3 linked regions of the Drosophila melanogaster genome follow. The protein of the gene in region 3 purifies or fractionates together with the protein of the main gene of each other region. This does not show direct contact. Each region holds a gene or a part of one and is shown on either strand. Other genes may lie near its edges.

Region 1 (7,580 bases), on a different chromosome or scaffold from region 3:
ACCAAAAGCCAAGTGCACCCTTCCCAGCTAAGAAAACGAACAACTTTAAGGCGAAAAACAAGCAAAATAACAATAGTGGAATAACCGACGATCGATTAAAGGCATATGGCATAAATCCCAGAAAATTCCACAAGCGGGAAAAATATGGAAAAAAGGATAACTAAAGAGTTATGATAAATCTAAGAATAAAAGTTCATATATAGTTATACATTTTATAGTTACATTTTATGTACATATGATAACATATTAAAAACCAACACAGCACAATGAACTCTGATTTGATCAGTTATTCTGCGGCAGTCACGTCATCATCGGTGGCCACTCCATCATCATCATCATCATCGTCCTCGGTGCTCTTCATGCGATCCAATTGAAGACGCCGCTCTTGGATGCGAATGCATTTGGGGCAAATCATATTTTTGCGCGTGAGGCAAACTCGGTGGAAGATGGAATTGCACTGATCACACTTGATGCAGCCATCGTCGAAGGGAAAGATCACCTCGTTGTTGCTACAAATCTCGCAAATGTACGCTTGGGCAAGGCACATGGGGCAGGATCGTATGTGATCATTGAATGCCTTGAAAACTCCTTGCAGAAATTCGCTCAGCGCTCCAGATTCCACCTGGCTGAGATCACTTAGGGAATAGAACTCATTTGACTGGGCCAGATGTCGCCGGACACCCAGTTGCTGATCCACCAGCTTCAACTCGCTGGCAATCTTGCAGGCAGCCAGATAGTGGCGCATATGCACCAGATTTTGGCGAAGTTTCTTTACCGCACACAATTTTTCTACGAACACAAACAGCTTGGGATTGTCCTCCTCCAAGCGAATGAGCGGTTTATTTAGGAACAACCTAATCTCTTGGAGCGCCGTGCGCGACACTCTGCGTGGCGAAAAGTCCCAATTGTGGATAATGCGGGCTGGTATAAAGTTACTGTCGTTCCAGTTGCAGCGAGGGCAGTAGTACAATCCACTATAGTCGCATAGACGCGGCTCAATCCAGGTATTTTCTACGAGGAAGGAGTCTAATTATTCGGAACCAAAAGAGTAGCCTTAACTTACTTATATTTAGCATCGTCCCGCACTCGGCGCACTTGTATCCCTGGGAGGCGAGTCCGATTTCTGGACATATCTCCGAAATGGGATGCTGCCGCTCTGAAACCAGGACATGGGCACAAACCCTCTTCACGCCATCGATGCACTTCTGATGGACCAGGAATCCGCAATCGCTGCACACGTACGAGTTCTGCACCACACTCCAAATAATGGTGGTGCAGTGGTCACAGTAGTTCCTCTTGGCGGCTGCCTGCAGACGATTCCGTTTGCCATGATGCGGGTGATGGGGCACAAAATGATGACCCACCACAGCACGTATGGCATTCATAACTACCATGTCCGACGATAGGGAATGCTGCTCCTGGGCCTCCTCCAGCTCCTGCAGTGAGTATCGCAAATCTACCAGGTGCCGCACCAACCAGCGACGCTCCTCGCTGAGTTCCTCGCTCAGCAGGACGAGATCTCTGCAATGGGCGATGGCCGCCTGCAAATCCTGGATATTGGCATCGCTGGTGAAGATTAGGCGCCATTGCTCGCGCACCAAGGACGCGGGAATGGGCAACGCCCTGTACTCCGCACCTTGTGGACCACTTTCCTCGGAGCCTCCGGCCTCGGATCCAGATCCAGTGGAGCCAGAGCCTCCAAGGCCAACTGTTGATCCCAGCGTGGATGAGGCGTGTAACAGGTTGCTGGCGCTCTCGTTAATCAACTGCGCCACCGTGCCCGGAATGCTCGTGAGACTGTCCTTCCAGGAGCTCATTTTTGGGGAAGAACAACAAAACAAGTCTTTGTGTGTTTTTTTAGCGACCAGGGATGCGAGCAATTGGTGCAGATGAGCGAACTAGTTATCGTTCACGGGGCAAACTGCAGGTGGTTGTACGCATCCCTGGAATGCACCTTAATACAGTGAAAGAAAAAATGTGAGGGTTAATTATTTATAAATATTTTGAATTTAACTTTTAATATTTTTAAAATATGATACAATTTGAAACCATATTCTGAAATATGTCAAGCGTGGTTTGCATAAAGCAAATATTTTTGTTACCATATTTTACCATTTAATATTAAATTGTAATTTAAGAAATCTAACAATCTATTGTGTTTATTCCAGATAAAAATGCCTATTTTTAACTTGAAAATTCGTCTGCTAAAAACTGTAGGCTTTAAAACTAGTATCAATAAGCCCTTTATTCTATTGTTCCTTCTATTTACATATATTCTGTAAGTAGAGGAAAATAACTAGAAAACCAAAAATATATTTTGAAAAATTGAAAAGAGAGTGACTTGTGTTGAATACGTTTATTGTTCGATGGTCACAAGGTGGACTGACAAGCTGGGTAAAAATTGAGTTAAATTACGATCTCTATGGGGTAAGTGGATGCAGACAAAGATATAACAAGGAAAACATATGTAATCTATCCAATATCGTTGGTTCGTTTTGGGGTTCGTATTCGTTGGGTCCAGGATCTAGACCACATTGGTGTGCTCGTCGCGATGGAAGATCTTCACGTCGACGAACTTGAAGTTGTGGACATCGAAGTAGTAGTCATGCTTCACCGGCCTGTTGAAGGGGAAACCGAAGGGCAGGGCGTCCACGTAGCGGGAACCGTGTCCCACGCCGCAGCTGACCACCGGATCGTAGCCAGTGAACTGGGCAACCTCGGGCTGGTGGTACGGGTAGACCATGTAGAAGAACTGGAACACCTGGCCGCCCTTCTTGCCGCGCGGCAGCATCATTCGGTTGGGCACGCCGCAATGGGCCTCCGACTGATCCAGCTTGAACTTGTAGTCACTGTTGGTGGCGTCCATCAGCTTCTGGTAGAGCTCCAGGTAGGTGGTGCGATCGTTCACCCAGAAGGAGAAGTCACCGCTGGCGCGCTTGATGTGGTTAACGCCCGCCTCCAGATGCACCTTGAAGTGCTCCAGCTCGAAGAAGTTCTGGTAGTTGTGCTCCAGTGGGATCTCGTGTCCGTGCTCATCGTACTTGGGTCCAATGAAGACCTTCACAACGGCATCCTGAGCCTTGTCCGAGGTCACGTCCAGGGTGAACTCGAAGGGCTTGTGGTTGAGACGCTGCTGGCGGGCCTTGATCACATAGCTGGATCCCTTGTAGTGGGAGTTCCTGCCGAAGGTGTACAACGGATCGGCGGATCCCTCAACGGCGGGCTCCACATTGACGGCATTGCTGATGTCCGAGTCGAAGTGCTCGAAGTAGGTGGTCAGACTTTCGGGCATGTGGACGGCATCGATGTGGACACCCTCGAAGGCGTAATCCTTCTTGTGGTACTCCGGATAGGTCTCCATCAGATGCCAGTAGTGGCTGACAATGGTCTTGTATACCTCGTAGAAGATCGGATCGCGCATAGAGGTGTCGTAGTGCATGAAAAGGCCAGGGAAGCTCTCGTCACCATGGCCATAATGGTGGCCCTCGTTCACAATGAAGCGGTACAGCTTGTCAAGACTGCCGTAGAACTTCTTGTCCACGCTGTCCGCATTGCCCTGGATGATGTTGCCCAGCACATTGATGGTCTCCACATCGAACTTCTCGTTCTTGTGGATCCAGTCCATGACACGCTGCGTGTACATCTCCACATGCTCGATGTGCTCGTAGTTGTGCTCGTGGTAGAAGCTGTGGTGATTCTCCCGGTGCCATTGGGGTACGCCGTAGTAGGTGCGCAGGTTACTGGCATAGCCGGATTCGGTTGGCACATACATGTTGAAAGCGGGCACCTCGCCGAGATCGTGGGACAGACGCTCCAGGTACCAACGGGCCAGCAATTGCCAGTGGACATACAGGTAGAGCTCACCGCGACGATCCTTGTTAAGGACATGCTCCTCGCCGCCCTTCGTCCAGAACGGATAGTCCAGATTGAAGTAGTAGTAGAAGGCATTGAAGCCAACATCCTCCAGGTAGTAGGCCAAATCGTGATCGTAGTTCAGGGAACCGTGCACGTTCGAATAGTTCGTACGGATCACCACGTTGTAGATGTTGTCCATCTGCTTGACATGATGGAAGCCGTGCATTTTGTAGTGCTCAGCCCATTCCAGTGCCTGGCTATCGAAGTAGCTCCATGGGTGGATCTCGTAGTGGGCCGGCAGGACGACTCCCTGCATATCATCACGGAACAAACTGGCAATGGTCACGGCGTACACGAACAACTGCTTGTTTACGTGCTGGCGGGCCCAGTAGACGACGTGCTGGAAGGTCTCCCAGTTCTTGGCGAAGTAGAAGAGACGCACCAGACCCACCACATACTCCTCGTGCTTGTCGTACATCACCGACCACACCATGTCATCGGTGAAGGGTTGGTGTTGCCACAGCTCGAAGAAGTGCTCCAACATCTCCGGGTGCACATAGTCGGCCACGTGCTCCCACGGCTTGTACTCCACGTAGCTGCCCCCGAAGGGCGTGGTGAACACATCGTCCTGGTAGATGTGCTGCAGGATCTGGTACATGAACTTCTGTTTCATCAGAAAGTCCTTGTCCGCCACCTTGGAGTCCAGGTGCTTGGCCTGGCCGAGAGTAGCCAGCAATGCCACTGCAGCTAACGCAATCACCGTGAACGACTTCATCTTCTCGAGTCGATTCGAATCGTAACGCTGCAATGATCGGTAGCCAGTATTTATACCCCCGGATCGGCGATACGCAGATTGCAATCCGGCCAATGACCGGTCGCATCCGTAGCCTTGATCCGCGCCATCGCCGGATCTGAACGACCCGCGAAGCTCTCAATCTTAGCGCCCATGCTGCATCCATAATTGCAGGTGATAAGACCGACGATTAGGCGGCCATACCAAGATCAATCCTACATCATTATCTAAATTCAAGAGTGAGCCACTAGAAACTGGTGGTTAGGTGAAGCAGCTGGAAGATCCAGTTAAGATTTCCTCGCTCCAGAGACACCTTCTCCAGCTGTCTAAATAGGAGAGTCTAAAAAAAAGAATGCCCAAAATATCACGATTACATTGATACTATTTATAAGCAAACCCACTTGCATTGTCAACTTAAAAAGTTCATACCACAGCACATTAAAAACGTGAATTGGTACACCTATTTTGTCGCCGTGTAATGACTTTCATTTTTCCCCATTTTTCCATTTCAAACTGATGATCGTGCTTTTTTCACACATATCAACAACAGGTGTTTGACGGGCCCCCTTGATTAACCTATTTCAAATAGTGATTAAGATTACATGGCCACCTGATCTCCTGTCAATTGAGGTGTTACCAGGCGGCTTCCTTGATAAGTTTGCTTTGTTCGCCGCATCGATTCTTTATCAATGCTAAAAATATTCCGAATTGCAAAACACGGAGCATCATGTTGCTGCGACAACAAATCCCGGACAACAAAGAACAATGGACCATCGAATGATCCGCAGGTCAATGGAGAACATATCAATCAATCAGACCCATTTCAGTCCTCGGTTTTTATACTGCTATTAAATGTCCTTCAAAATAAAAATATATATGATTACAGGATAGGAAATTATGACGTTCTATGCAAATGCATATGATCTCATTAGTATATCTATACGTACATATCTTTATTTTAGTTTACACAGAATCTACAAAATTTATTTTACGAAAAGTAACCATTGCGTAGATAAACACTATCCAAATTATTTGGCGGCTGGATTCGTGGAAGTCTTCGTACGGCCTCCCGATTCTCGTCGGGAGTCACGTTGAGCATCTGCCCCGGATGTTCCGCTCGTTGGTTTTGGCAGGAGACTCTCGGTTCCGGGGATCTGTAGAACTCCGTGTTCCTTCGGCGCGGATACATCTCACAGGTGGTCAGGATCTACAGAAAAGCACGGAGATAAATTTGAAAGACCAAAAGAGAAATGAAATACTTACGGGCTGATTTGAAGACGTACCCCTATCCATGGTTAAAAAACTTTTATATTCGAAATAAACAAATTTTGAAAATTTAGAAATTTTTCAATGATTTTGTCCGGTTACTCGAAAGATATGAAAAGAAACCTAACCGAAACGGGTGAAAATAGTTTATGAAAACCCGAAACCATAATCATGGCATACTTTTTTTTAGATTTGCGTTTCAAGTTTTGAAATTGGTATTGGTATATCTTGAAATATATATTTTTATATTATTCAGACTTCGAGAACATATGAGTCTCGTCTATTCAAGGTGATCACATTGCTGCGTCATTCGCAAAGTCTTCAAAATATGATTCATCCGATTTAGAATAAACAACACCTTATCATTAGAAGTATACATTAATGCAAAATGTTGTTCAAATGTTTAGTTGCTAATCAAAAGAAAATGATTTCTTTTATAAATGCATAATCTTATTGCTTTTTAGAAACTCAAATAAAAAAAAACCCATTTTATTGCAAACCTTCCGTTTACTTTCATTCATTTTCTGTAATGTCCTTTTATTCCTTTTATAATTATTTTGTAGAAATCAAGTTTTGATAACTTTTTTCAAGTTACCCCAAAAATATTAGCCAACTAATGAACTGCTCACGCATCGCTTTTCCTAATTGGGAATTACGGCTCCCATGGGAAATCCTCTACAGGTGTTGTGTTCACCCAAAGGATATTTCACTGGTTAGTCTGCTCGTAGAACATGAAGTTTTTGGTTGGATTGCTGCTCCAATGGTATCTTCCTGGCATTTATGCCCTTGCCGAGATTGCCTGTCGCATAGCCGTAGAGCAGAATGTCCAGGTGACCTATCTGTACCGCTGTGCCAGCTGCCCGGCATCCTTCGATGCGGATTACTCTGCCTTGGAATTGGATCTCTATCGGTGTGTGGGCAGTAGACTGCCCGTAATCACACGGAACATGGAAGCACATGAGCTGGAACCATTTAGACGAACGGACAGCCTAAGCATCTTTCAAATTCCGGCTGCCGAAAAGGGTGATTCCTTGGTACGCCGCATCCTGGACATGTTGAATCCTCACCAGAGGCGCAAGCATATGCACAAGTATCTGTTTGTTTGGCCAAATGCCGGAAGGCATCAGTTACTGCGACTTTTTCGCGGCAGTTGGGCCAAGAAGCTGCTCTACGGATTGGCCATTACCGGCAGGGAAAATGGCACCTTTGACTTTGATCCCTTTGCTTGGGGTGGTCTCCAAGTGATTCAGCGGCTGGATGGCGAAGTGCCGTACGCAAGAAAGGTGAAGGACTTGCGCGGCTACCCATTGCGTTTCTCCATGTTTACGGATCCGTTGATGGCGATGCCCAGGAGTCCTGTGGAGACAGCTGGCTATCAGGCAGTGGATGGAGTGGCGGCCCGAGTTGTTGGCGAGATGTTGAATGCCTCAGTAACATATGTCTTCCCGGAGGATAACGAATCCTACGGTCGTTGCCTTCCGAATGGAAACTACACCGGCGTGGTCAGCGACATAGTCGGTGGTCACACCCACTTTGCACCCAATTCCCGCTTCGTGCTCGACTGCATTTGGCCAGCGGTTGAGGTGCTGTATCCCTATACCCGTCGCAACCTGCACCTGGTCGTGCCCGCCTCCGCAATCCAGCCGGAGTACCTGATCTTCGTGCG
Region 2 (7,562 bases), on a different chromosome or scaffold from region 3:
CCGATCATCACTATTACTTGCATATTTATTTCGAGCGGTTTAAACTGTGGCAACATATTTCCGTGCAATAAGGCGACAAGCGAAGGACTTCCCTCTGGGGCTTTTGAGCTCTTCAGTTAAGTTCATTCGTGTCTGGACAGCCAGGCATCTAACCAAAGAGCCTTAAGGTGAAATAAAACGGCAATCTGACCCCCCCCCCCCCCTGAAACCCGGATTCATGCTCTTCGAGCTAGTGGCTGGCTGCTTTTCCATTCTCAGGTCGTAAACTAATATATATAGGGGTCGTCGACTGCTAATTTGTGCAAACAAAACAAAAAATGCGAGATGAACAAGTAAAAGCAGGTTAAGGGGCGAAAAAAGCCACATGTGGTGTACACTTATCGTTGTTAAAACGTTAGTTACTTAATAAGCTTCCAAAATATTTTTCATTGACGATACGGCATTTGACTATTAATTTAAACTAGATCAAGACAGAGCTTACGTCAACTCAATTTTTCAACTCAGCCTTTCTTCGCGATATTTATTTTGAATTATATTTTCATTAATATACATTTAACTTTGGAAAAAAAGAAAACATATAGGTGAGAAGTTTAGGCAAATGTTTATAATTTATGGGTTAAGCTAAAAGAAACCATATAGGTGAGAAGTTTAGGCAAATGTTTATAATTTATGGGTTAAGCTACCTCCGCCCGCCGGGCAATTAAAATGTGAGCGCTGGGGCCAAGACAAGCTCAAGGAATTTGAATTGATTGAAGTGCGCCAGGCTATCGCGTTACGCACCAGGAAGTCCAAGGAGCTTTAGACAAATCTCTTGGGGGGACGAGTGGAGCGCACACGCACATGGGCAAAAGGCGAGATTTCGTCTGGGGTTTCTTTTGTTTAGGTCTTTGACTGGGTTGCTACCACATTATACCACTTTAAAGCCTTCCCCTCTGCACTCCATTTGATGCTGATGTTGTATGTGGTGGTTGCTTCAGGCAGTTTTTTTTACGTTTTTTTCTTTTCACATTTCCTTTTTTCTGCGCCTCACCGCCAGACGATACCCATAAGCTGGCAGGAGTGACGCACCAAATACAAATGGTGGAACCAGAGACTTTTAAAAAGTGCGTCGATATTATGTGCGTAGCCAGAAAGCAACGCACGAGCTGGCCTCCCTTCCATCGCCATACGCCTTCTAGAAGCTAAGCAGAAAAGGGAGACTGGAATCAGGACTCGTATCGGGCTTAGCTGGCGTTGAAAGTTTAACGAACCCTTGCCGTTTCCTGCTCAAGGACTTCGCCCTTCTGCGTTTAGTATTTGACCACTAGCCTTCAGGGCTCAGCGTTTTATTACACATATTTCTTTTCCCACAAGCAGAATAGGAGAAGAAAAAAATTTCAGCGTCCAGTTTTCGGTTTCAATGTGACTCAGGCGCCGCCGAACGCCATTAGCCCATGTTACGGCACTAAGCGGGTTTACTTAGCTTTTAGTGCAAAAGACATTTTGTGTTTCTGGTGATCTGAAAAGGCAAGGCTTGTTAATGATGCGAACAACAAGATTATGAATATTTAATTATTCAGTATTTCTTTATTTTAAATTCGTTTATATATTTTTTTGGTATTGGTTTTTTTGCCTGCGACATTGCTAAGAGCTAGATCCAGTGTGGCTTAGTATTCAATGGAGTAGTCGAAGGTGCCGAACTGGGTGTACTTCTTCTCAAAGTACTTGGCAAAGGTGTCGACGTAGTAGACCTTGACGTCCTTAAAGAAGCCATTAGGCACAAAGAAGTCGGATTCATCGATCTGGCGGTCGAAGGGATAGCCGAAGGGCTTGGTGTCCACGAACCGGGTGCCGGAGCCAACTCCCGAGGAGTAGGTGTAATCAAAGTTAGAGAACTGTTCGTACGTCTCGGCGAATGGCGAGACAAAGAAGTAGAACTGCATGGGCATGCCCTGCTCCCATCCCTTGGGCAGCACCAGGCGGTCGGGGAAGGCGTTATGCGGCTCGCTAATGTCCAGGGGAAAGTCGTACTTGCCCTCGCTGGCCAGCATCACGTACTTGTAGAGCTCGGTGTATGTAATCCTGTCCTCAGCGGTCCAGCTGAACTCCTTGGAGCTGCGCTTGATAGTGTTGGTGCCGGCAATGAAGGGGTACACAAAGCTGTCAATCTGCACGAAGTTCTTTCGGTTGTAGTCTAGTGGTATCACGCGGCCGTATTCATCGAACTTGGGGCCCAGGAACACGCGGACAACTCCCTTCTGCACCTTGTCGGAATCAATAGTGAATTCGAAGTTGAAGGGTTTGTGGTTAAGGCGGGCCTGACGGGCCAACAGAGCCTTGTCCCATATGTACTGGCCGTCGACAAACGTCATCTTGTCGTTGAGCAAGTTGGTCACATCGAAGTCCACAATGTCGTAGTATGTTACCAGTTTGCTGACGCTGACATCCTTGATGGTAATGCCCTCGTAGAAAAGATCCTTTTGGGTGTAGGGCTTCAGGTAGTACTTAAAGGTGTAAAACACATCGGTGAACTTTTTGTAGAAGGTGTAGAAGAAGGGATCGCGCAGCATAGTCTCGAAGTTCAGGAAAACGTTAGGGAACACCTCCATGTCGTTGTAGTCTACATCAGCGAAGTACATATGGGCCAGCAAGTAGTAGTAGTTAAAGAAGTACTTGTCAAAGGTGTCAGCATTGCCCTGCAGGTAGTTGCCCACAATCTTAATAGCCTCGGGCTTGTGAAGGTCGAACACCTGACCGTCGGCGGTTTTGTAAAATCCTGTCTCTAGGACCTTGTAGACGCGACTGAAGAAGTTCTGGATTTGGCTGTACATTTCAAATTTGCCGTAGGTGTAGAAGTCATAGTAGTTCTTTCGGTAGCTGTAGCCAATGCCATTGTAGTAGATCAGCTGGGGATCGTAGCCGTACTCTATTTGCTTGTACCAGAAGAACTCGGGGATCTCGCCAAAACCGTTGGCCAGGCGCTCCTGGTAGTATCGTGCCAGGATCTGCTGCACATTGTAAATCCAGTACTCGCCACGACGGTCCTTGTCCAATCCGAACTGCTTTCCGTTTAAGAAAAAGGCGTAGTCCATGTTCAAGTAGTACCAGTAAGCATTCCAGCCAAGATCTTCGGTGAAGTAGGTCATCTTAGTTTCATCGTTGAAAAAATCGATGTCGCGGGTGTAGTCCACAGGCATGTAGAATTTTTTTAGGCCCTTGACAACATCAACGTACTTTGGATCGTTCACAAATTGAGAGAGGTTTTCGCGTAGGAAGTACTTGTCCTCGACGTACCACTCCTGGTCTAGACCCATCATTTTGTACCACTGCCATGTCTTCCAGTCCTTGGTGTAGAAATAGAAATTGCCGGTGAACTCACTGTAGTCTTTGTAAAGGATATCCTTGTACTCCTTCTCGTACATGGTCAGCTTGCTGAAGACCTCATAATCGAACTTCTCGGCCGCGTACACGAACTTGCTGTTAAAGAAGTACTGGGGGAAGATTTCGTAGATCTGTGGTAGGATCAGACCTTCGAACTCGGGCTTGTGGATGACAGCCAGGGTAAGAGCGTAGACGAACATTCCCTCGTTCACGTGGATGCGGGCCCATGCGACGTTCCGGACGAAGGTCTCCCAATCCTTGGCGTAGTAGAAGAAGTTGAACAGACCGTAGGCCTGCTTGTGGTGGGTTTTGACCAGGGCTCCGAAAAACTCTCCCTTGGGAAGCAGGGCTCCAAGCTTGTAGGATTCCCAGAGCTTCTCCATGTAGAAATCGAAGGTCTGTGGGGAATTACAAGGAAATGGCTAGGGTTTCAGGAAGAAAGTGATGTTCTTAATGCACTCACCTCGTATTGAGCCTTGTCGGTGATCAGCTTTTGGCCCATCTTAATCCATTCCTCGAACATTAGAGGCTCATCAATACGGTGAACGATCTCGAAGAGGAACTTCTGCTTCTCCAGGAAGTTCTTGTCGGCGATCTTTACCTTCTGCGTGGGCACGCTAAAGGCAGTCACACAGGCTACGAGAGCCAATATAACAAGGGTCAACTTCATCCTTGGTCCTCTCGCTGCTATTCTTTGGTTCCTCAACTGCTCCGGCTTTGGTTCGCTCAACGACCAACACCTAAAGTCTGTTGTCTTGACTGCACCGAAACTGGGTCTTTTATACCCCCGACTGGAGCCTTGCATTGCACCATATCAGCGGCAGACTCCCGTCATCAGCATAGGTCGTCGCATAGGTCCAGTCCCGGCCGAAAATAGCGGGCCACATTATCTTCGGATGCCCTCGTCATTCTGGAGGCATGCCTCAATTCAGGTGGTGATAAGATAAGACCCACGACCTCGTCGATCGTCTTCAACGCGGTTCTGTTGTATAATGGCCGATCTTTATTGGCAATTGGCGACGGTGACTGTGAATTTTTCACTGCACTGCGATAATAACTTGGAGCATCGTGATTGCTTTGAACTGCCCACCTCACTGATATGTGCATAAGTCATATCAGTTCAGGTTTAATTCTAGGTGTTTTCGTTTCTTAGATGAATATTTTGCATTACCATCCGGAACCATCCGGTTGGTGAATCCAATGGAAATGTACACTGATTTTGGTCTTATACACAGCATAATTATATATCAACCAATACTAGATTCGTGGAAAAGTATGTTACAGGTAGAAGGAAGGGTCTCCGACATTTATTTATATATATGTATGGTTGCTGGCTGTCATTTTGAAAAATATTTTATATTTCTTCATATATTTGGTCCTGTACATTTTTATCGAATTGCCAAAAATTATTGCCACGCCCACAAACCCTTAAAACTGCCACGTTCGCACTTTTTAAAAATGCTTCGGGTTTTCTTCGCAATATTGTTTGTCTTACCAATTTCTATCGTTATACCAAAAACACTTTGGTGGCCACGCACCTCACACCGACAAAACAGTAACGCCCACACTATTAAACATTTTACCACTTTTTTCACATTTTATTCCCCAACTTTTTGTCTATTTTGAATTTCACCCTCGATGTAACAATGCGATAGGTTAGGAATAAAAATATTTTTGGATATGATTATTATTATTATTAATTTATTTACTATTTGTGATGTTCTGATTGCTACACTTAAGCTCCCCGTACTTCTGCTGACTCTCTCTTTTTTTCTTATTATATATGGGGGTATGTACTAATTTTTTTCTTTTCTAACCATATCTGGCCGAAAACGGAGAGTAAAAAAATGGATTTAACAGATGTGCTAAATATATGCTAAAATATCTTCACTCGCCTTTCCCCGTCCCGTGTTAAAAGAATTTGATTTGCCACAATCGTGTATGAGTCGTTCACCCAACATTATGTATTCACTTTATGTTTGTGGCAACATGTATGTCCGACGAGTTTTTTTTTTTGCCAAAATGCCACACGAAAATTGCGAATTGAAATAAAGCTTATCGCATTCATTAGACTTATCACCTCCACCGTTTGACAGCTTGTGTTTCAGGGCTAGGGGGAACAAACAGCGAGCAAGTTGTATAAAATAAAAAAAATAAATTAAATAACTGCTACCAGACCTAAGGTCAGGTGGTTTCCAACCCAAACGGCTACTAAGTTTTTGTTAAGAAATAAACAAGGCAGAACGTTGTAGTCGAGTTCCTCGACCCTACCGTTCCTCAGCTTGTGAAAATAAATCAAATTCTTAAGAAGTGTGGGCGTGGCAGTTTTTAGCAGTAGATTCAGCGTAGTCGCAAACTTGCGCTGCGTCTTCTTCTAGAATCTGCATACTTAATCTCAACCTTCTAGCTTTTGTATTTCCCGAGATCTCGACGTTCATACGGATAAGGCCAGATCGACTCGTTTACTGATCATGTTCAGGAATACATATATACCTCACCGGGTCAGCAAATCCATCTACTTATTATATGAATTTCATTTTTCTTCTACGATTAACGGGTATACGAATTGGTTTAGTTATTTTAAGACTAATCGGAAATTTTTTCTCAGATTGAAAAAATGTTAAAAAACGAATTCTAGCCATGTTTCATTTTCAGCAATTTTTATAATTTTTCCTTATAGTATAAGAAAGGAGAAAACTTGTTCTATAAAATCAAACGTACTCCGAGAGGTCAAGCCGATGCCGTCATCGATCATCAAATAGAAACAAAAACATAAGACAACTGGACAGAACCAAAATACCGTTTTTAAATATTCTATATTGACATAAAAGTAAGTCAATAAAAGAGTTATGTCCAGAAATATTAATTATAGTTTATATATCGAATCGCTTCAGATATTATTAATGATATGGCACAATATATATTTTTAAAGTAACTGAAAATAGAAAGAAGTATTTAAGGTATATTATACATATACATATTGGTATTAAGCATTAAAAAATATTTCAATACAAAAATATAAAATGTATGCCCTATTGGCAAAATGAATTAAACAATTTCTCATCGCGATGCGTCGACGGTAACTTACCCCTCTCCATTCAATCCTCCTAAATTAAATGTTTCAACCACTTGAACCCCCTCAACAAAGCTGTCCGGAAATGATTCATAATAATTGCAAATGCCGCATTGCCGTTTCGCCAAAAAGCTTGAAAGCCATACATCGCCCTGTTGCCACCATAAAATTGACAAATGTGTCTGTAAACTTGGCTAATAATGCTGCGTCCGAATGGGTGGAAAAGTGCTCGCTCAATTGCCTGTCACTTTACCCCATTTTGAAGCATTGACGTCAATGTCTATAAAATGTTTCCTATACCTTCTTAGCACTTCTGTTAATAATATTTTGACAAAAAAAGGCTACAATTAAAGCACACACTCTTTTAGTGGTTGATATGGTATTCAAAAGAGGAGCTTCAAACATGGATGCCGATGGGGACATTGTAATAGCCATTGTCATATGGGGAGAACTAAGGTTGCCCAAGAGGGTGTGGTCGGGCTTAACCTGGGCTAAGAAGCATTGGGACTTTAATTGATTTTTGCCCTCCTTATCCCTAATCGAGGGGTTCTGACTCCCTGATTAATGGGTGAAATGGAATGAAGACTGGCATCAAAGGAGGACCAAAAGAGGACTAAGAAAGAGACCGCCGACCAGCCAGTTCCTGGAAGCACTACTGTATTTATCGCTCTCTTTCATAGACATTTCCACACCGAACGCACAATAAAGAATAAAGGACATGATCAAGGGATCGGATTCAAATCCCAGATTTAGGGCGTTAATGTGCGAAGTGCATCTGAATGAGATTCATCCGAAATGTATTTCGGCCTTTATTGTTAGGCATGTTAGGTATCTTAGCTCCTCAAAGAATCAGAGACAGGACAGGAAATAGTTATGGAAGCTTTTGCTGTGTTTTCCCTAGAATTTTGGTCTACCGAAAGTTCATTGTCAAGTTCACCGGGTACCGTCTGGCATCGAAGCAATAATGTCTTTATGGGCATCTATGGTTACGTGGCTCTTGAATCAAATTCTGACGGCCCTCGATAACGGGAAGACCTTGGCTTCTTCAGCGTCTCTTTTGGGTTTAGTTTTGGTCCGAAAAGGATGATCCATAAAAGAAAAAGTTGTTCGAAAGAGACATTTAGGTGTT
Region 3 (6,232 bases):
CGCCAAAACAAAACCCAATAACTCTCGCCCCGACCGATGAGCTTTCGAAATCTGGTTCAGTCTAGACTGGTGCGTGCGATTCATGACGCCAAAGATAATTAAAAGGGAAATGGAAATGCATAAAAGTGATTACAACACAGCGACAACAACTCTAGCACTACCAAATGCGGTCGTTATGTCGGGAAAGAGTTGGACACCCAACTCCAAGCTGATCCAAGCCGATTCAGCAGCTGTGAGTCTCGGAGCCACTAAAACCAACTGGCAAAATCAACATGTAAATTTCAATTTTCACGTACGTCAATGTTTTTCCTATGAATTTCGTACGTGAACGAGTAAACAAACGACCAGGGTCTGAGAGATAAATCTGTGATAAAACTCCCATTCCATTCCACCCTTTGAACCGCTGGCCCGAGCATCGGACCACTTGCCGAAATTCGGCTGAAAAAACCTTAAGTCAGTCATCGAAAATCCGGTTCGGTTTGCCTGCTTTGGGTCTACGCTGGGCCGCGACTTGGCCAAACCCGCCGCCTGCTCCCTGCCTGCTAAAGCTCTGGATGCCAGAGAGCTGACCATTGCGCTCAGTGTACGAGCCGCTAAAGCTCCTGGTATAAAAGCGAGGCCAGCGAGCTAACAGCTCGCAATTTGAGTTGCGCCTTTGATCGTACCACAACTGCACCCGGGCCACCGAAAATCACCGGAAGAGAAGTGAGTAAGCCATTGTTCAAGCCGTGGTTCGTTTGCCCTGGTTAGGCCGAGCACCCGAGGAATTGAGGTGCAGCACCCATCAAGGATTGCGAAAACCAAACAGCTGGCCACGGGCTAGCATGGATTCGGATATTGGACGCAAATAAGTCGAAAGCTGCTAAAACTACGTGGTGTCGGTGAAATTGTGAAATCTTTTCAAAAATATTAAATCCAAACGATTGCCAATTAGTATGCATATGCGATATATATGCCAAGGGCCATAAATAATGCATGAGCTGGTGGGCAGACCACTAACCGCTTTGGATGATTCTTTGACATGCGTCGAAAACACAGAAAAGCCGAGACTGCCTGACGCCTTCTTATTATCCGCTTACCCGGCAACCAAAAATCCCTCATTTTAGGAAATGTGTTTCGTGGCTTACCTTTAATAATTTGAATTTCCCACCTGCCTTTCCAGATAATCCTCCAAGATGAAAGCCTCGCTAGCTCTAGTGTTCTGTGTTTGTGTCGGTCTTGCGGCAGCTGCTCCTGAAAAAACCTACACCAACAAGTACGACAGTGTCAACGTGGATGAAGTTCTGGGCAACAACCGAGTGTTGGGTAATTATCTCAAGTGCCTGATGGACAAGGGCCCATGCACAGCAGAGGGTCGTGAACTTAAGCGCCTTTTACCCGACGCCCTTCATTCCGACTGCTCAAAGTGCACGGAAGTCCAACGCAAAAACTCACAAAAGGTAATCAACTACCTTCGCGCCAACAAAGCCGGCGAATGGAAGCTCCTCCTGAACAAGTACGATCCCCAAGGCATCTACAGAGCAAAGCACGAGGGACACTGAGCGCTTTGCTTGTCCACCAAATGCACTAATTTCACATGAACCTAATTTAAACCAGAGATCCACAGTAAAGATTTTAGTTTTTTATACCTAAATGCGGAAAACGAAACTTTTATTCCAACGAAGGCGGTGGCTTACGCCAATATATGCTATGAGTCGGCGAACAGCGCGGATGATGGTAGCCATGGGCCGATGTTATATGGTCTCGTTAATAAGGTCGATGGCCCTAAACTGGTTGGCCACATTTACGGTCCAGTCCGATTGGTGTCCAGCGGTGAACTCCTTTACAAAACGGTAGTTGCAGATGAAAACCTTATCCTGGTACTCGGGAAGGGTCCTGCAACAAATGGGTATGAGGAGCTCAGCTTTCGGGCAGTGACAGTCCAAACTTACCCCATGTTCCAGGGTATTTCCTCGCCGCGTTCCCGCATCTCGGATAGACCACGCATTACGTGAAACACCATGGTGATCTCTACGAAACGCTTCTGCAGCTTGTCGTTTGCATCGTCAAACATAATACCTACCTGATAGGGAAAGCTGAGGTATATGTCGCTCTCCTTGATTTCTAGCTGCCTCCGTTGCGTCATTGACAGTTTTTGGATTACCGGTCTAAGCTCTGCGATCGCCTCGGGCGAGACAAGATTGTCCAGGGAGTCTAAGTCGCCGCCCATCAGTTTTGAGGATACTACCTATGAGGGAATTAATATCATTACACTTCATGATAGACAAACCATGACGCACCTGCAGCGCTTGCTTGGCGCCGTATATGAAGTCCTTGAGTTGAAACTCGCTGTCGAAGTAGGGTCGAATTATGAACTGTATGGTGATCCAATTTTTTAACGAGTTAAGCGCCGATGGCCACACGATCTCTGGAAAGTCCATTAGGCGAGGCAGGCGGTTAAGGCTCTCTCTGGCATTCTGCTCCTTCTTGTCTTGCTCCTGCGGCAGCGAGGCGAAAGACCGACTGACCGGTTGTGTTGGCTTCGAGATGGACCCAGCTTCCTGTCCCCCGGAGGCTGCCACTGTGGGTCTGGGCTGCAAACGCATCAGGGATATCCGGGCCATGCCCAAGCAGCGTATAAGCGTGTGCTGCATTGCAGAAATTGCACTCTGAACAGCTGCAACTGGGCTAAAAAGTTGTTTTTGTTTTTCTTAGCCAATTTAGTGTGACCGCAAGTAGATAAATAAAATATACCAAGCTTCGTTACTTAATTGCTCTAACTTAATTCGAACAATATAAATATGGCCGGATCTTGCACATCCAAGCTGCTGGAAACCGCACAAAGTAGTTGTTATTAAATATTTTTTTTAAATAAATCTTGCCACTCCGCTTAAACTAGTACATCCCCGAGGCGTTGCCAGACCCCCGAGTACGTTATCGATGTATCGATAGCACCCTTCAGAAAATGGTGCTGACTTCCGGCTGTCAAATTTTTCTTTCTTTCCTAGCCACGACGAGGTCGACAGCATGAGGTAGATTTGAGTTCGCAAATATGAGCGAAAAGTTGCGCTCGCGGGGTCTAAATGTTTGCAAAGTGTGCCGGGCGAGCGCGTGCCGTATGATGCAGCTGCCGGGCGGACAAGTGCCATTCTGTTTCCCGGCAGTTGTGAAATAACCGAACATGCGACGCTCATGCACACACACACACAAGCTGATAGGCGCATCCCAGCACGCTACTTTCGAAATGATGGACTAACAAGTTACCCTCCTTTGCAGTTCTCTAAAGCTCCAGAAGAGGCTCGCAGCCTCCGTGCTGCGATGCGGCAAGAAGAAGGTCTGGTTGGATCCCAATGAAATCAACGAGATCGCTAACACAAACTCGCGTGAGTAGAAATGGTCTAAATGGTCGAATAGACAGCCCAGCTAACTGTGTTGTTAACCCATTCCAGGTCAGAACATTCGCAAGCTTATCAAGGATGGTCTGATCATCAAGAAGCCCGTCGTGGTCCACTCCCGTTACCGTGTGCGCAAAAACACCGAGGCCCGCCGCAAGGGACGTCACTGCGGATTCGGAAAGCGTAAGGGTACTGCGAACGCCCGCATGCCTACCAAGCTGCTGTGGATGCAGCGCCAGCGCGTTCTGCGCCGCCTGTTGAAGAAGTACCGCGACAGCAAGAAGATTGACAGGCACCTGTACCACGACCTGTACATGAAGTGCAAGGGTAACGTATTCAAGAACAAGCGCGTCCTCATGGAGTACATCCACAAGAAGAAGGCTGAGAAGCAGCGCAGCAAGATGCTGGCTGATCAGGCCGAGGCTCGCCGACAGAAGGTGCGTGAGGCCCGCAAGCGCCGCGAGGAGCGTATTGCCACCAAGAAGCAGGAGCTCATCGCCCTGCATGCTAAGGAGGACGAGATCGCTGCCAAGGCCGCCACCGCGGGTCACTAAGCAGTCCGACCTCGCTAGTCGAGGAACTCCATATTGATAGTACTGTTTATCGTCTGAATAAAACACCTTTAGTTTGGCCGAAATGATTTTGTACAAACGTGAAACTCATGCTTATTTTTTTAATGGCTTTCCCTGGGAGCAGTCGTAAGGGAATTTGGTTGAATGTGACTTGTTAATTCTTATTCCCTTATGTTGCATTTCATTGTGAATTCAGATTAAAGACGGTGATTAAATTCAAAATATTCACTTCCCTCGTTTTAATATCCTCAATACCCCACAACTTCAAATGCTTAAAAAACTTTAATATATTGGTTCTTGCGACTAGCTTTTTGTGAGAAGTATTTTGGCATTTAATTCGTTAATTATGCCAGGTAATGGATTCATTTTACAAGCAGCGTCAATTATTACTCAGAAGTTTAATTGTTGTATTATCCTAATATATTTTACTTTAAGGTTACCCATATTCCAAGCTTAACTGAAAATAAGCTGGCCCTAACTATGTAGGATAACAAGACGTCCCCAAAGCTCTAGAATTCTATATGCATTTGTATTCTTGAATTTAAATCCTATGTATAATTTAAATAAAAAGTCAAATAAATGTATAGTAATAAATAACTGATGAAAAAAGTAAAAAAGGTCATGAAAAACCGCTAATCTTTGATGTAAATGCCAAATGTCCCCTCCTTCAATATGTATATGTATGTAGGTAGTGAATAAATAGCGGTAAAAGAGCGATGAACCGTGATTTGTTTTGCCTATAATAATGCGATTAAACAGCGGTGGCTATAGCGGTGTTTTTGTGATGTTTTTCTTAGGGATAATTTCCTGGGACATGCTAATGCTAAAATCATCGTTTTTTATACAAAATGCGATCGGTACTTTTACTGAGCGCTTATTTACTACCGAAAAACTGGGCAATGCATCTTAATGCTGTGTTAAGTCGGAAACTTAAAATAGGCAACCGTATTTAATATACTAGTTTAATTAGTTCGTTTATACCTAAAGTAAAAATTAATTTATTTTTTAGTATTTAATCGATTGTATAAAAGATATTTACTACCGAAAAACTGGGCAATGCATCTTAATGCTGTGTTAAGTCGGAAACTTAAAATAGGCAACCGTATTTAATATACTAGTTTAATTAGTTCGTTTATACCTAAAGTAAAAATTAATTTATTTTTTAGTATTTAATCGATTGTAAAAAAGATTCCAGTGTCTCCAGTGTTCGCTAATCAGCAAACCTTATCTTTAATTGTGATTACCTTCATTGGGATTATTCACTCATCAAATAATATTGTAGAAAAAATGAAGGAGTCTAGAAATCTTGAAAACTTTGTGGAAAAAAAGCTCTATGAATGCAAAAAGAAGTATGTTGACATTCCAAAGGACGAGGGACAACGATATGGTAAGCACTATGAAGCACTGACATCTAAAATCTTTGAAATACTGAGAAAGGAGAATCCAGAGCTGGACATCATTATTGCTGAGTTCAGTTTGGAAGGTAAGTCATTCACGGGGCTCAACTTCACATAACTCCATCCAATTTCCGATATATGTATATTATCGGAACCATAATGATAAAAAAAAAGTCCGGTCGTATTCGTGTATCCGCGCTTCGTACTCGTTTCCATCGCGATCCCTCCGCGCCGCGTTTCTCAGTCATTACTTACCGCGCAGCTTAAATTCCGCAGGCAGTGTCGGGGATATGTTAAAGATCGCGAAGCCCAACGAATTCGATTTGGTATTTAAGTTAAAATTTCCGTACTACAAAAGCATCGCCGTGACGCGAGATCCGAAAATTCCGGGCAACGTACTACTCGATATGACGCGCGTGTTAGAGCTCCTTAAGGATGATCCCCGCGAGGATTTCCAGAGAATTCGGGAACTGATTCAGGGTCGACTCGTGGATGCGCAAAACTTTTTCGTCGTGGACAGGCTTCGTTCTTGGCTTCAGAGCTTGTTTAGCCAGGCACTCAACAGGATATCATATCGCGTGGAGCTGGTTGCCGGCGTAGTGTCCCATCTCAAATATAGAACCTGTGGGCCGGCCCACACTATCTACGTGTACGGTGATTATGAGTACTCTGTCGACTACGTACCTGCAATCTGTTTGGCGGCCGAACAGAACGTCTTGCCCACGAAGCAATTGGAGTGCTTTAAACGCGCCAACACTTCTTACTGGGAGGCGATTCCCAAGCCTCTGAAACCCCTAACTGAAACCAGCATGATCTCCTTTCGTTCCTCGTTTTACGCCGTAGAGAAAATATTGCTGCAGGATGTGCACGAGAATTGCCGGAATGCAAT

Evidence for each region.
Region 1: the proteins of CG3776 (region 3) and Lsp2 purify together in Drosophila melanogaster (affinity purification with mass spectrometry, with the first as the bait; one study listed by BioGRID). This does not show direct contact.
Region 2: the proteins of CG3776 (region 3) and Lsp1gamma purify together in Drosophila melanogaster (affinity purification with western blotting; one study listed by BioGRID). This does not show direct contact.

Annotation. Positions count from the first base shown.
Region 1 is NT_037436.4:12,126,460-12,134,039, reverse strand, and holds Lsp2 (larval serum protein 2), read right to left. Parts: upstream 4,648-7,580; 5' UTR 4,631-4,647; coding exon 2,525-4,630; 3' UTR 2,171-2,524; downstream 1-2,170. Other genes in the region: CG5645 (uncharacterized protein), read left to right, coding at 1-164; DEF8 (differentially expressed in FDCP 8 homolog), read right to left, coding at 287-1,011, 1,064-1,817; CG34241 (uncharacterized protein), read right to left, coding at 5,637-5,855, 5,912-5,941; Ir68b (ionotropic receptor 68b), read left to right, coding at 6,646-7,580. UniProt on the Drosophila melanogaster protein: Larval storage protein (LSP) which may serve as a store of amino acids for synthesis of adult proteins.
Region 2 is NT_037436.4:62,983-70,544, reverse strand, and holds Lsp1gamma (larval serum protein 1 gamma), read right to left. Parts: upstream 4,116-7,562; 5' UTR 4,031-4,115; coding exon 3,824-4,030; intron 3,759-3,823; coding exon 1,647-3,758; 3' UTR 1,550-1,646; downstream 1-1,549. UniProt on the Drosophila melanogaster protein: Larval storage protein (LSP) which may serve as a store of amino acids for synthesis of adult proteins.
Region 3 is NT_033778.4:24,966,248-24,972,479, reverse strand, and holds CG3776 (uncharacterized protein), read right to left. Parts: upstream 2,803-6,232; 5' UTR 2,734-2,802; intron 2,670-2,733; exon of another isoform or gene 2,668-2,669; 5' UTR 2,634-2,667; coding exon 2,280-2,633; intron 2,228-2,279; coding exon 1,932-2,227; intron 1,876-1,931; coding exon 1,734-1,875; 3' UTR 1,625-1,733; downstream 1-1,624. Other genes in the region: Phk-3 (pherokine 3), read left to right, coding at 1,176-1,541; RpL19 (ribosomal protein L19), read left to right, coding at 3,007-3,011, 3,256-3,362, 3,429-3,928; cGlr2 (cGAS-like receptor 2), read left to right, coding at 5,234-5,429, 5,620-6,232.